2 linked regions of the Saccharomyces cerevisiae S288C genome follow. The gene in region 1 interacts genetically with each later gene. Each region holds a gene or a part of one and is shown on either strand. Other genes may lie near its edges. The genes, in order: FIG1 and CCH1.

What was found.
Region 2: mutations in FIG1 (region 1) and CCH1 impair growth when combined (synthetic growth defect), as found in Saccharomyces cerevisiae (2 studies listed by BioGRID, with this or other methods).

The regions. Positions count from the first base shown.
Region 1 is NC_001134.8:314,814-318,517, reverse strand, and holds FIG1 (Fig1p), read right to left. Parts: upstream 1,551-3,704; coding exon 654-1,550; downstream 1-653. Other genes in the region: long-chain fatty acid transporter FAT1, read right to left, coding at 1-252; ATP3 (F1F0 ATP synthase subunit gamma), read right to left, coding at 2,008-2,943. UniProt on the Saccharomyces cerevisiae protein: Required for efficient mating.
Region 2 is NC_001139.9:922,849-930,728, forward strand, and holds the start of CCH1 (calcium channel protein CCH1), read left to right. Parts: upstream 1-1,847; coding exon 1,848-7,880. Other genes in the region: GPI1 (phosphatidylinositol N-acetylglucosaminyltransferase), read right to left, coding at 1-1,614. UniProt on the Saccharomyces cerevisiae protein: Voltage-gated, high-affinity calcium channel that functions together with MID1 to mediate calcium entry into cells. Required during conditions of environmental stress.

The sequences.
Region 1 (3,704 bases):
TTTAATAAATAAGTACCAGTTTTGAAACCTATGTCTTCTCACATCAATGATATAACAAAACACGCTTTTCAAAAAGTAAGGAATAATATACCAATCCTCCTTGTATCTATATTTACGGTCTAATTCATCAAAATAATTACCAAATAGATAACCCAGTGATTTCTGGATAGGGGTTATAATTAGCTTGATAAGTCTGAATAATAGCAGGAAAATCCTTGACAAGGCAAAGACAACAACCTGTATGGGAGACATAGTCGGTATTCGCAGCCTATTAAAAGTTCAACGATATAGAATTTGAATGATTTGGGCTTTTCAATTTAGTTTACGACTTTAAGGTCCTTATTTTTTTTGCTATAACATTAGTATTTATAAAAAATTTCTGGAGCTTTGTTACATTGCGCGAAAAACCCGCGTTCTATCTTTTTAGTCGCTCATCAAGGTGACAGTAAATAAAACAGACGGTAATGATTAGAGTTTAGGTAAGCTCATATTTTCTCTGTTGTTACTTAATTATCGAACGTTAAATTTTTTAAGTAGTTCATCACATTATATAATGTTAATCGTGAATTATATAAATTTTTTCTCCTTTTACTTTTAAAAATTGACATTCTGAAATATCCGCTCAAAACTTATATGTTTATTTGAGGATAAAACTAAACTTTGGAATGCAATGTAGATGAATCCGAAGAGTAGTTATTGTACCTATTTTGGGCACATGGAACATTATCAATTTCATCTTTCAAGCTTTTCCTATCCCTTAAAAATATTAACCATAAAACCACACTGTCTAAAAGGAGGAATGCAAAGCTAAACCAAGCCATTACTGCTGCCTTCTTGCCCTTCTTGACAGTGATTATATTCATACTTGATGATGGAACCAATCTGTAACTTGCATTTATCCCTACATGAGTCCACATCGCACCAATACCCCATGTCAAAACTATAGTTGAACTTAGCAACAGTAGAAATTTATTAACCGCTAGTTTGAATGGTAACTTAGGGACAGTTACATACAGAATAAATAGAAACATTAGGATTGTTAGGATTACAGTTGCCATCAAGACATATGGATGTATAACATTAACCGAAGTTAATTGGGCTAACTTCAAAATGTTCAAGACAACGCTTGATTGGGTTTTGGAGCTGGAAGATGCAATATTTGAGAGTTGAATTTCCAAGTCTCTGTATAAGGGAACCGAGCTTAAATTCTTTCTTGCATAGCAAATTGAATTGGAGAATGTAGTCATATTATTGTAAGAGCTATATTGGGAGGGAATGTTATCAATACAAACACCCATGTAACCGGATCTTATAATGACTTCCTCCAAGCCCAGAGTTGTATTTGATTTTTCATATGATTTCTCTATGATCGTATAAAAAGGTGAGTTGTCATCAAATTTATACTTCACTAGAAATGTTGACTGATTTGACGGGTTGTAACAGCCGATGAGAAGAAAAATCAAAAGAAATATTGAAATTAAATTAAAAGCTAATGCAAATATTCTGGGCATACGCTTGGTAAAAAACCAAATCATTGAGATTGCGACCATTTTTTTTTTTTTTTTTTTGTTTGTTTGTTTGTTTGTTTACTATAATTTCTTCTACCAAAGACAAGCAAGAACCTGAGATAAAAAACATTTAACAGACATTTTACAAATATATACCAATGTCTTTGTTATTTCAACAGCACTATATATTGTTTTCATTTTCTTGGTTCGTTTCATTGCTACTTAGCCATATTTTTTTTAACTGACACATACATGAAACCATCATAATCTTAATGGGAAAAAATCCTAAAGCGAGAAGGACTTTCAAAAAAAAAAAGTTTTAAAAATGTTATAATTTTTGTATTTTACCTGAATATATAGTAGTGTTTAGTATTTATTATCTTTCCTTTTCTATTTAAGGTATTCTTTGGATATATACTTCGTCTCATCAAGTCAAAATTCGTTTCATGTTCTACAAAAACAACGTCAAATAAAGAGGCAATGCAGGGTGATTTTTTTATCATCCCAAAGAGGAAGCACCAGTAATAATATCAACCAGTTCATTAGTAATGACAGCTTGTCTTGTTCTGTTGTACAAGATAGAGTAACGATTGATCATATCACCGGCATTCTTGGAAGCGTTATCCATAGCGTTTCTTCTGGCGGAAATTTCAGCAGCATAACCTTGAGCCATTGCTGTCAACATTTGGTTAGCCAAAGTATATTCAAACAAATCTCTTGGAACGTTTGCGTCCGTGTCGATCTCAAATTTGCCGAATGATGGGGATTGTTCAATGGTCTTGGCGTTAAAGATCGGTTTTTCAGATGGTTCAAAAGATAGGGAAGACACTGGGTCATTGTAGAAAATGGAAATCTTTGGGTAAGTGCCGGCCTTCATGACACTCAATAACTTATCGGCAATCAAAGCAGATTCTTGGAAAGTTGGGGCATCTTTACCAATTCCATTAATAGACAATTTAATGTTGTTAGGATGGGTTCTCAATAGCTGCATTTTAATTTTATCACCAATAGTGACTATATCGGCGTTTGGTTGATCATTCAAATGTCTTCTCACAGCTTTAGCCAATTGAGAGTGGATAGAACCACACAACCCCTTATCAGAGGTGATAGCAACAATCAACTCTTTAGGAGCACCTGTTTCAGTAGCCTCAACATCCAAATTTTTGGTTTCGGCGTTCTTGTAAAACAACTGCTCTGCTTCATCCATCTTCTTTGCGGAAATTTTAGCCTTTTCAGCTTTACTCAATCTTGTAGATGCAACAATCTTCATAGTTTTTGTGATCTTCTCAATATTTTTGATAGATTTCAAACGCATTTCCACTTCTTTCAAAGTAGCATAAGTTCTCACTGGGTTAGTCTTATAAAGAATACCCACTTGCGCTTGGTGGCACATTACGGAGCGTGTTGCATTGTTTGATACAATTCTTGACAACATGACTACTAAATAAAATAATGTTTACTGCTCGTCTTCAATTGTTTCCACCTGAAATTAACCAAAACGGTTCAGTCTCAATAGTTTCTTATTTGTCTTTTTTAACTGAGTGATAATCATTTAAGCATCTCCCTTCCGGGCCTTCTTTAATCGTTATTGCGGTCCGGGTTCCTCGCGTAGTTACTCGCCGCTCATTGGTTCTCCATCACGTGATAAACATTTCTTCCAAATAAATGAGAACGTTCATTAAATATCGAATAATTCACTTATTATATCTCCATCATATACTTACTAGTTCTAGCGACAGCTCCTATTCATATATCTTCTTACTTTTTTTTTGTTTTATCGACAATTGCTCTACGTTTCGACGTCTAGAAAATGTACTAAAACAGTGCGCTCTCTACCCATAAGGATGAAGAATACGTAATAACAAGAGTTTATTCTCCTTAGTATGTATTTGATAGCACACTCAGAAAGATGAGTTACTACTTGGAAAATCTCAAAAGCTCTTGATGCCCAGCTCATACATAAAAAAACGCCGGAGAACTTTAGCGTCACCAGTTACTGCGACACGGCTTTTAGAGAGGAAAGTAAAGGTCTATGAGTAAAAAGATAGATTATGTTATGCTACATTATATTTGGTATTGAAACATGTATATTATATATAAAAAGTCTAAGAGAGAAATGTCAAAATATCCTAGAAGGTAATGGTTGTCATAACCTGTACATTCTAAAACAGAATGAGAAAAAAGAGGGAATGACGA
Region 2 (7,880 bases), on another chromosome or scaffold:
GTTTTGAAGTTCTAAGGTTGTATGCTTGTTAGAAACCGTGGTTTTGAGCTCAATTGAAATGCCACCGGGTAGACGTTTAGGATCTTTTAACCTAAGTAATAATGCGAACAATGGAAAATGGTTAATGAGTGCAATGACAGCTTCCGAGAATATTTCGATAGTTATTGTTAGCATTCTCAAAACTGTGTATGACATATAGAATGCCATCACTGTGGGAGTCAAGAACACTAGAATAATAAATAATAATGTTCCCAATAGCAATTGATCTAGTTGAAAATAGTTATGGTCAATCCTATTTCGTAAAACGTTCCTCTTTTTACCGCAGAACAGGTTAAAAAGACTAGCCATAATATTCAACTGACAATGGTACAGTTTACTGCTGATACGATAAAAAACATATATTGGAAAACTTAAAATTGCAAAAAAATCAATCGCTAGGGAAACAGCAAAAGAAAAGCCAACGAGAAACATCATATATATCGTTAACGTGAGCAAAGATGATAGGGTTTTCGGATCAATGAGTCTTTTTATGAATGTGGTATAAGAAAATTCTATCACCCAAAGAAATAATTCGCTCAAAAAGTTCGCAAGTTCTGCATTTAATTTGATGCCAAGGGGGTTATTTGCTAACGTTTCAGTTATTGTTTTTAATGAATCATATAAAAAAAACTTCAATACTCTATGGGATGCCGACACCAAGAAATCTCGATTCTCAATAAGTATGGCCCCCAATATTAAACCAAATGAAATGTCATTAATAATAAGCCAAATTGTATTATACAATAAAATATAATCGGGATAGAATTTAGAAGGCATATATGAATGTGAGAATTGACTATTAGAATTATCTTTTTCCACCATAGAGCCAACATTCTGTATGTTATCCTTCTTATTAATACGCTCATACTGTACTGGGAAATAGCAAATTTGTTGACAACGAAGATCGATTTGCTGGACAAATGCCGAGTAATTTACCAACTGAAAGTGCGAATAATTTAATAACGAGGATACGAGACTAGCAATAGAGCAGATCACAAAAGTCAAATAAAAACCAATTTTTGCGACCATTTTATAAATACAAGTAGATGAACACCAAGCTGCGACACTATTAAGCATAGTACCCCTCAAATTTTCCTGTGATGTTTGAATAAACGGGTAAAGCTCATTTAATGCTTTACAATATGCGGGGAATAGATTAATGATGTTCAAAGTTTCACTCAATTTCTTATTATCTCTCTTGTATCTTGGATGTTGCTCTAATTTAGAATAGTTCAGAGTTTCACCCACACTACTATGAAGACCAACTTCTTTTTCTGGTATGATGAGCGAGATGGGATCAGAAGAATAGAATTGCATAAATTTCAGCTTGGGTATTCTAAAATGGACATTACAGGGATCAGCAACTTTGTAGTTCCAACCCTCCGCTCCATTGTTCTTAGTAGCTACCACTGAATAAGGGGGCCGTATGCTTACTTCTTCTAAATACTGAGGTTCGCAAACACCTAAGACAACAAAATGCGTCTTCTCAAATGAAATTGCCAAAGCTACCTGAGGTCCTTGAGCTGCGGAATTCTCGAACAAGGATTCGTATGGCCAGAAAATGTAATTTGGCATGTCATTTAACTGTATAAAACCGCCCCTGAATTCGAAGGTTCCTGTTCACAGAGGAATTTTCATTCTTTTTGGTATTATGTTCTGGTAGGTTTTTTTCATATTCTACATTTCGGCATTCTCACTGAAAATAAATATAGATGAGATAGAAGATCATGAATCAATGGTTGGTGACAAGCTAACATAAGGAAAATCAAAATACACGGCATTACTAAATAGAATATATTGTTAGTACTATGCAGGGGAGAAAAAGGACGCTTACGGAACCATTTGAGCCAAATACCAATCCATTTGGGGACAATGCAGCAGTAATGACGGAAAATGTTGAGGATAACAGCGAAACAGATGGTAACCGTCTAGAATCAAAACCACAAGCTTTGGTCCCACCAGCTTTAAATATCGTGCCACCAGAGAGCAGCATCCACAGTACTGAAGAAAAAAAAGGTGACGAGTACAATGGAAATGATAAAGATAGCTCCTTAATCTCCAACATATTTCGTACTCGTGTCGGAAGGAGTAGTCATGAAAACTTGAGCAGGCCTAAACTCTCACTTAAAACAGCATCATTTGGTGCCGCTGAATCTTCCCGGCGTAATGTTTCACCCTCTACAAAATCTGCCAAGTCTAGTTCGCAGTATATTGATTTAAATGATGAAAGGCTACGCAGGCGTAGCTTCAGTAGTTATAGCCGATCATCTAGTAGGCGTGTTTCTAATTCACCAAGCTCAACGGATAGGCCTCCACGGTCGGCAAAGGTTTTATCGCTAATTGCCGCTGATGATATGGATGATTTTGAAGATTTGCAAAAGGGATTTAAAAGTGCAATAGACGAAGAGGGCCTGACATGGCTACCCCAATTAAAATCAGAAAAAAGCCGTCCTGTATCAGACGTTGGAGAAGATAGAGGAGAAGGAGAACAAGAATCTATACCTGACGTTCATACACCCAATGTAGGAGCAAGCGCTACTCCAGGATCAATTCATCTAACACCCGAACCCGCGCAGAATGGTTCGGTATCTGAGGGTCTAGAAGGCTCTATTAATAATTCAAGAAAGAAACCCAGTCCAAAGTTTTTTCATCATTTATCACCGCAAAAAGAAGATAAAGACCAAACAGAAGTTATTGAGTATGCTGAAGACATTCTAGATTTTGAAACCCTTCAAAGAAAACTGGAATCAAGGCCCTTTGTGCTTTATGGACATTCTCTTGGGGTTTTCTCGCCTACGAATCCGCTAAGAATAAAAATTGCTCGTTTTTTGTTGCATAGGCGGTATTCGTTACTTTACAACACTTTGTTAACATTTTATGCCATTCTCCTGGCGATAAGGACATATAACCCTCACAATGTGGTTTTTTTATACCGTTTCTCTAACTGGACCGACTATTTCATTTTTATTTTATCAGCTTGCTTTACAGGCAATGATATTGCTAAAATAATTGCGTTTGGATTTTGGGACGATTCTGAAATGTTTAAAGCCTATGGACGTGAGTATAAATCAATCTTACAGAGATCTGGAATTATGAAACTATACATATATCTGAGAGAAAAGTATGGTAGAAAGCTAATAGATTTCATTATTCCATTTAGGATCATATCGCCGGGAGAAGAGACAAAATATCAACGAAGTTCGTTGAGTACTTCCCTGACGAAACCTTATGGGGCAAAGGAAAATCAGAGGCCTTTTGGCACCCCAAGAGCCTTTGCGAGATCATCGTGGAATAGAATAGATCTGGTATCTTCTGTCAGTTTTTGGCTAGGTATGTTTTTATCCATAAAAAGTTATGATACAAAAACAGGCATAAGAATATTCAAGCCCCTTGCTATATTAAGGATTCTTCGACTTGTAAACGTGGATACTGGTATGCCCTCAATTCTAAGGGGATTGAAATATGGTATCCCACAGTTGGTAAATGTTAGTTCAATGCTAGTTTACTTTTGGATTTTCTTTGGGATTTTGGGAGTACAGATTTTTCAGGGCTCTTTTCGAAGACAATGTGTATGGTTTAACCCTGAAGATCCTACCGATACTTACCAGTACGATATGCAATTCTGTGGTGGTTACCTAGATCCAGTAACAAAACGAAAACAAAATTATATCTATGAAGACGGATCAGAAGGTTCTGTTTCAAAAGGCTTTCTTTGCCCACAATATTCGAAATGTGTTTCCAATGCCAACCCCTACAACGGCAGAATTAGTTTTGATAATATTGTTAATTCCATGGAGCTCGTTTTTGTCATTATGAGTGCGAATACTTTTACTGACTTAATGTACTATACGATGGATTCGGATGAAATGGCTGCCTGTTTGTTTTTTATTGTTTGCATCTTTGTTTTAACTATCTGGCTGCTAAATCTACTCATTGCAGTGTTGGTATCATCTTTTGAAATAGCCAATGAGGAGTACAAAAAGAAAAAGTTCATATATGGTTCTAGAAAGACAGGTTATGTTGCTCGCATAGTAACAGGCTACTGGAAATATTTTAAGCTTAAGGCGAATCAGACAAAATTCCCAAATTGGTCCCAAAAAGGACTAGCTATTTATTCCCACGTTGAGTTTATCTTTGTCATACTTATTATTTGCGATATAGGTATGCGCGCCTCTGTTAAAGTATCGACTTCGGCAAACTGTAACAATATCCTTCTAAAAACTGACAGGGGAATTTCGATTGTTCTCTTCATCGAATCACTGGCAAGGTTAGTATTATATCTGCCCAATATGTGGAAGTTTTTAACAAAACCTAGTTACGTTTACGATTTTATTATATCAATTATTACTCTGGTTATTAGTTGCCTGGCTGTTGAAGGGGTTCTAGGACATATGTATGCCTGGCTATCCATATTCCACATATCCAGATTTTACAGGGTGATTATTTCTTTCAATTTAACAAAAAAACTATGGAAACAAATATTGAGTAATGGTGTTATGATTTGGAACTTATCGTCTTTTTACTTTTTTTTCACCTTTTTGGTTGCTATAATCATGGCTGTGTATTTCGAAGGCGTGATTCCTCCAGAAGAAATGGCAGACCAGCCATTTGGAATGTATTCACTACCGAATTCATTTCTTTCTTTGTTTATAATAGGTTCAACTGAAAATTGGACGGATATCCTATATGCCCTCCAAAAACACTCACCAAACATCTCCTCAACTTTTTTTTGCTCAGTATTTTTTATTATATGGTTTCTACTATCCAACTCAGTGATCTTGAACATTTTCATTGCCCTAATATCAGAAAGCATGGAAGTGAAAGAAGAAGAAAAACGACCACAGCAAATTAAGCATTATCTTAAGTTCGTCTATCCTCAGAAAATACAAGAATATACACACGCTAGTTTGGTTGCGAGAATTCGTAAAAAATTCTTTGGAGGTCATAGGAACGAAGATACAAGAGATTTTAAGCAATTTCTTATGAGAGGAACCGCGATAATGAACATAGCGCAGAATATGGGGGAGTTGGCCGATGAATTCAAAGAGCCACCTTCAGAAAACCTATTTAAAAAGGGCTTATCAAAGCTCACAATTGGGGTTCCGTCACTAAAAAGGCTGAGAATGTTTGCTAATAATCCATTTTATAAAAATAGTGACGTTGTGTTTACAGAAACGAACGATATAAATGGGAGGACGTATATCTTGGAGTTGAATGAGTACGAGGATGAGAAGCTAGATTATTTAAAAAAGTACCCTTTATTCAATTACTCATATTATTTCTTTTCTCCTCAGCATAGATTTCGAAGGTTCTGTCAACGCTTGGTACCACCAAGCACTGGAAAAAGGACTGATGGATCACGATTTTTCGAGGATAGCACTGATCTATACAATAAAAGGAGCTATTTTCATCATATTGAAAGAGATGTATTTGTATTCATTTTCGCACTTGCCACCATTTTACTAATTGTTTGCTCATGTTATGTTACGCCTCTATATCGTATGCATCACAAGATGGGAACTTGGAATTGGTCCTCGGCGTTAGATTGCGCCTTCATTGGTGCCTTCTCAATTGAATTTATCGTGAAAACAGTAGCTGACGGATTTATATATTCTCCAAATGCTTACCTGAGGAATCCATGGAACTTTATTGATTTTTGTGTCCTAATCTCAATGTGGATTAATTTAATTGCATACCTAAAAAACAATGGAAATTTGTCTAGGATTTTCAAGGGATTGACAGCCCTGAGGGCCCTCAGATGCCTCACGATCAGTAACACAGCTCGTCAAACATTTAACCTAGTTATGTTTGATGGTTTAAATAAAATTTTTGAAGCTGGGTTGATTTCACTCAGTTTGCTATTTCCATTTACAGTTTGGGGCTTAAGCATTTTTAAAGGCCGTTTAGGTACTTGCAATGACGGAAGTTTGGGCCGTGCAGATTGTTACAATGAATATTCAAATTCCGTTTTTCAATGGGATATCATGTCTCCAAGGGTTTACCAGCAACCATATCTTCATTTGGACTCTTTCGCAAGCGCTTTTAGTTCATTATACCAAATCATTTCTTTGGAAGGATGGGTTGATTTGTTGGAAAATATGATGAATAGTTCAGGAATAGGTACACCCGCTACGGTAATGGGTTCAGCAGGGAATGCTTTATTCCTCGTTCTGTTTAATTTTTTAAGTATGGTTTTCATCCTGAACTTGTTTGTTTCATTCATTGTTAACAACCAAGCAAGGACAACAGGAAGCGCTTACTTTACCATTGAGGAAAAGGCGTGGCTGGAATCCCAGAAACTTTTATCTCAGGCCAAGCCAAAAGCTATCCCAAATTTAATTGAGTTATCAAGAGTTAGGCAATTTTTCTATCAACTTGCAGTGGAGAAAAAAAATTTCTACTACGCATCGTTTCTTCAGGTAGTACTTTATTTGCACATAATCATGCTCCTGAGTCGAAGCTACAATCCAGGAAACTTGATAGGTTATCAAGGTGTTTATTTTATGTTTTCCACTAGTGTTTTTTTAATTCAAGAGGCACTTCACATGTGCGGTGAAGGACCAAGATTATATTTTAGGCAAAAATGGAACAGCATACGACTCAGTATCATAATTATAGCCTTTATTATGAACGCTGTAGCATTCCACGTTCCAGCCTCTCACTATTGGTTCCACAATATAAAGGGGTTTTTCCTGTTAGTGATATTTTTGTTTATTATTCCTCAAAATGACACACTAACTGAACTATTAGAAACCGCAATGGCAAGCTTACCGCCTATTCTATCATTGACCTACACTTGGGGGGTTTTATTTTTAGTATATGCTATTGCTTTGAATCAAATCTTCGGCCTAACAAGGTTAGGGAGTAATACGACCGATAACATAAATTTTAGAACTGTAATCAAATCCATGATTGTTCTGTTTAGATGTAGTTTTGGTGAGGGCTGGAATTATATCATGGCCGACCTAACTGTGTCAGAACCTTATTGCTCCTCTGATGATAATTCAACCTATACGGACTGTGGATCAGAGACATATGCCTATTTGTTATTAATGTCGTGGAATATTATTTCCATGTATATTTTTGTGAATATGTTTGTTTCGTTGATTATTGGTAATTTCAGTTATGTTTACCGTAGCGGTGGATCTCGCTCTGGCATCAACAGATCGGAGATAAAAAAATACATTGAAGCTTGGTCCAAATTTGATACTGATGGAACTGGCGAGCTTGAGCTGTCCTACCTCCCAAGAATAATGCATTCATTTGACGGTCCTCTTTCATTTAAAATTTGGGAAGGTAGATTGACAATAAAAAGTCTAGTCGAGAACTACATGGAGGTTAACCCAGATGATCCATATGACGTCAAAATAGACCTGATCGGACTGAACAAAGAGCTGAATACGATTGATAAAGCAAAGATCATACAGAGGAAGTTACAGTACAGAAGATTTGTACAAAGCATTCACTATACGAATGCTTATAATGGATGTATCAGATTCTCGGATTTGTTATTACAAATACCTCTCTATACAGCTTATTCTGCAAGGGAATGTCTAGGTATTGATCAATATGTCCATCATCTATATATCCTGGGTAAAGTGGACAAGTACTTAGAAAATCAAAGAAACTTCGATGTATTGGAGATGGTGGTAACAAGATGGAAATTTCATTGCAGGATGAAACGTACCATTGAACCCGAATGGGATGTTAAAGATCCCACAGTATCGTCTCACATTTCGAATATAAACGTAAATCTGGAACCTGCTCCAGGAATTTTAGAAAGAGAACCTATTGCGACACCTAGAATGGACTACGGTGTTAACAATTTTATGTGGTCTCCG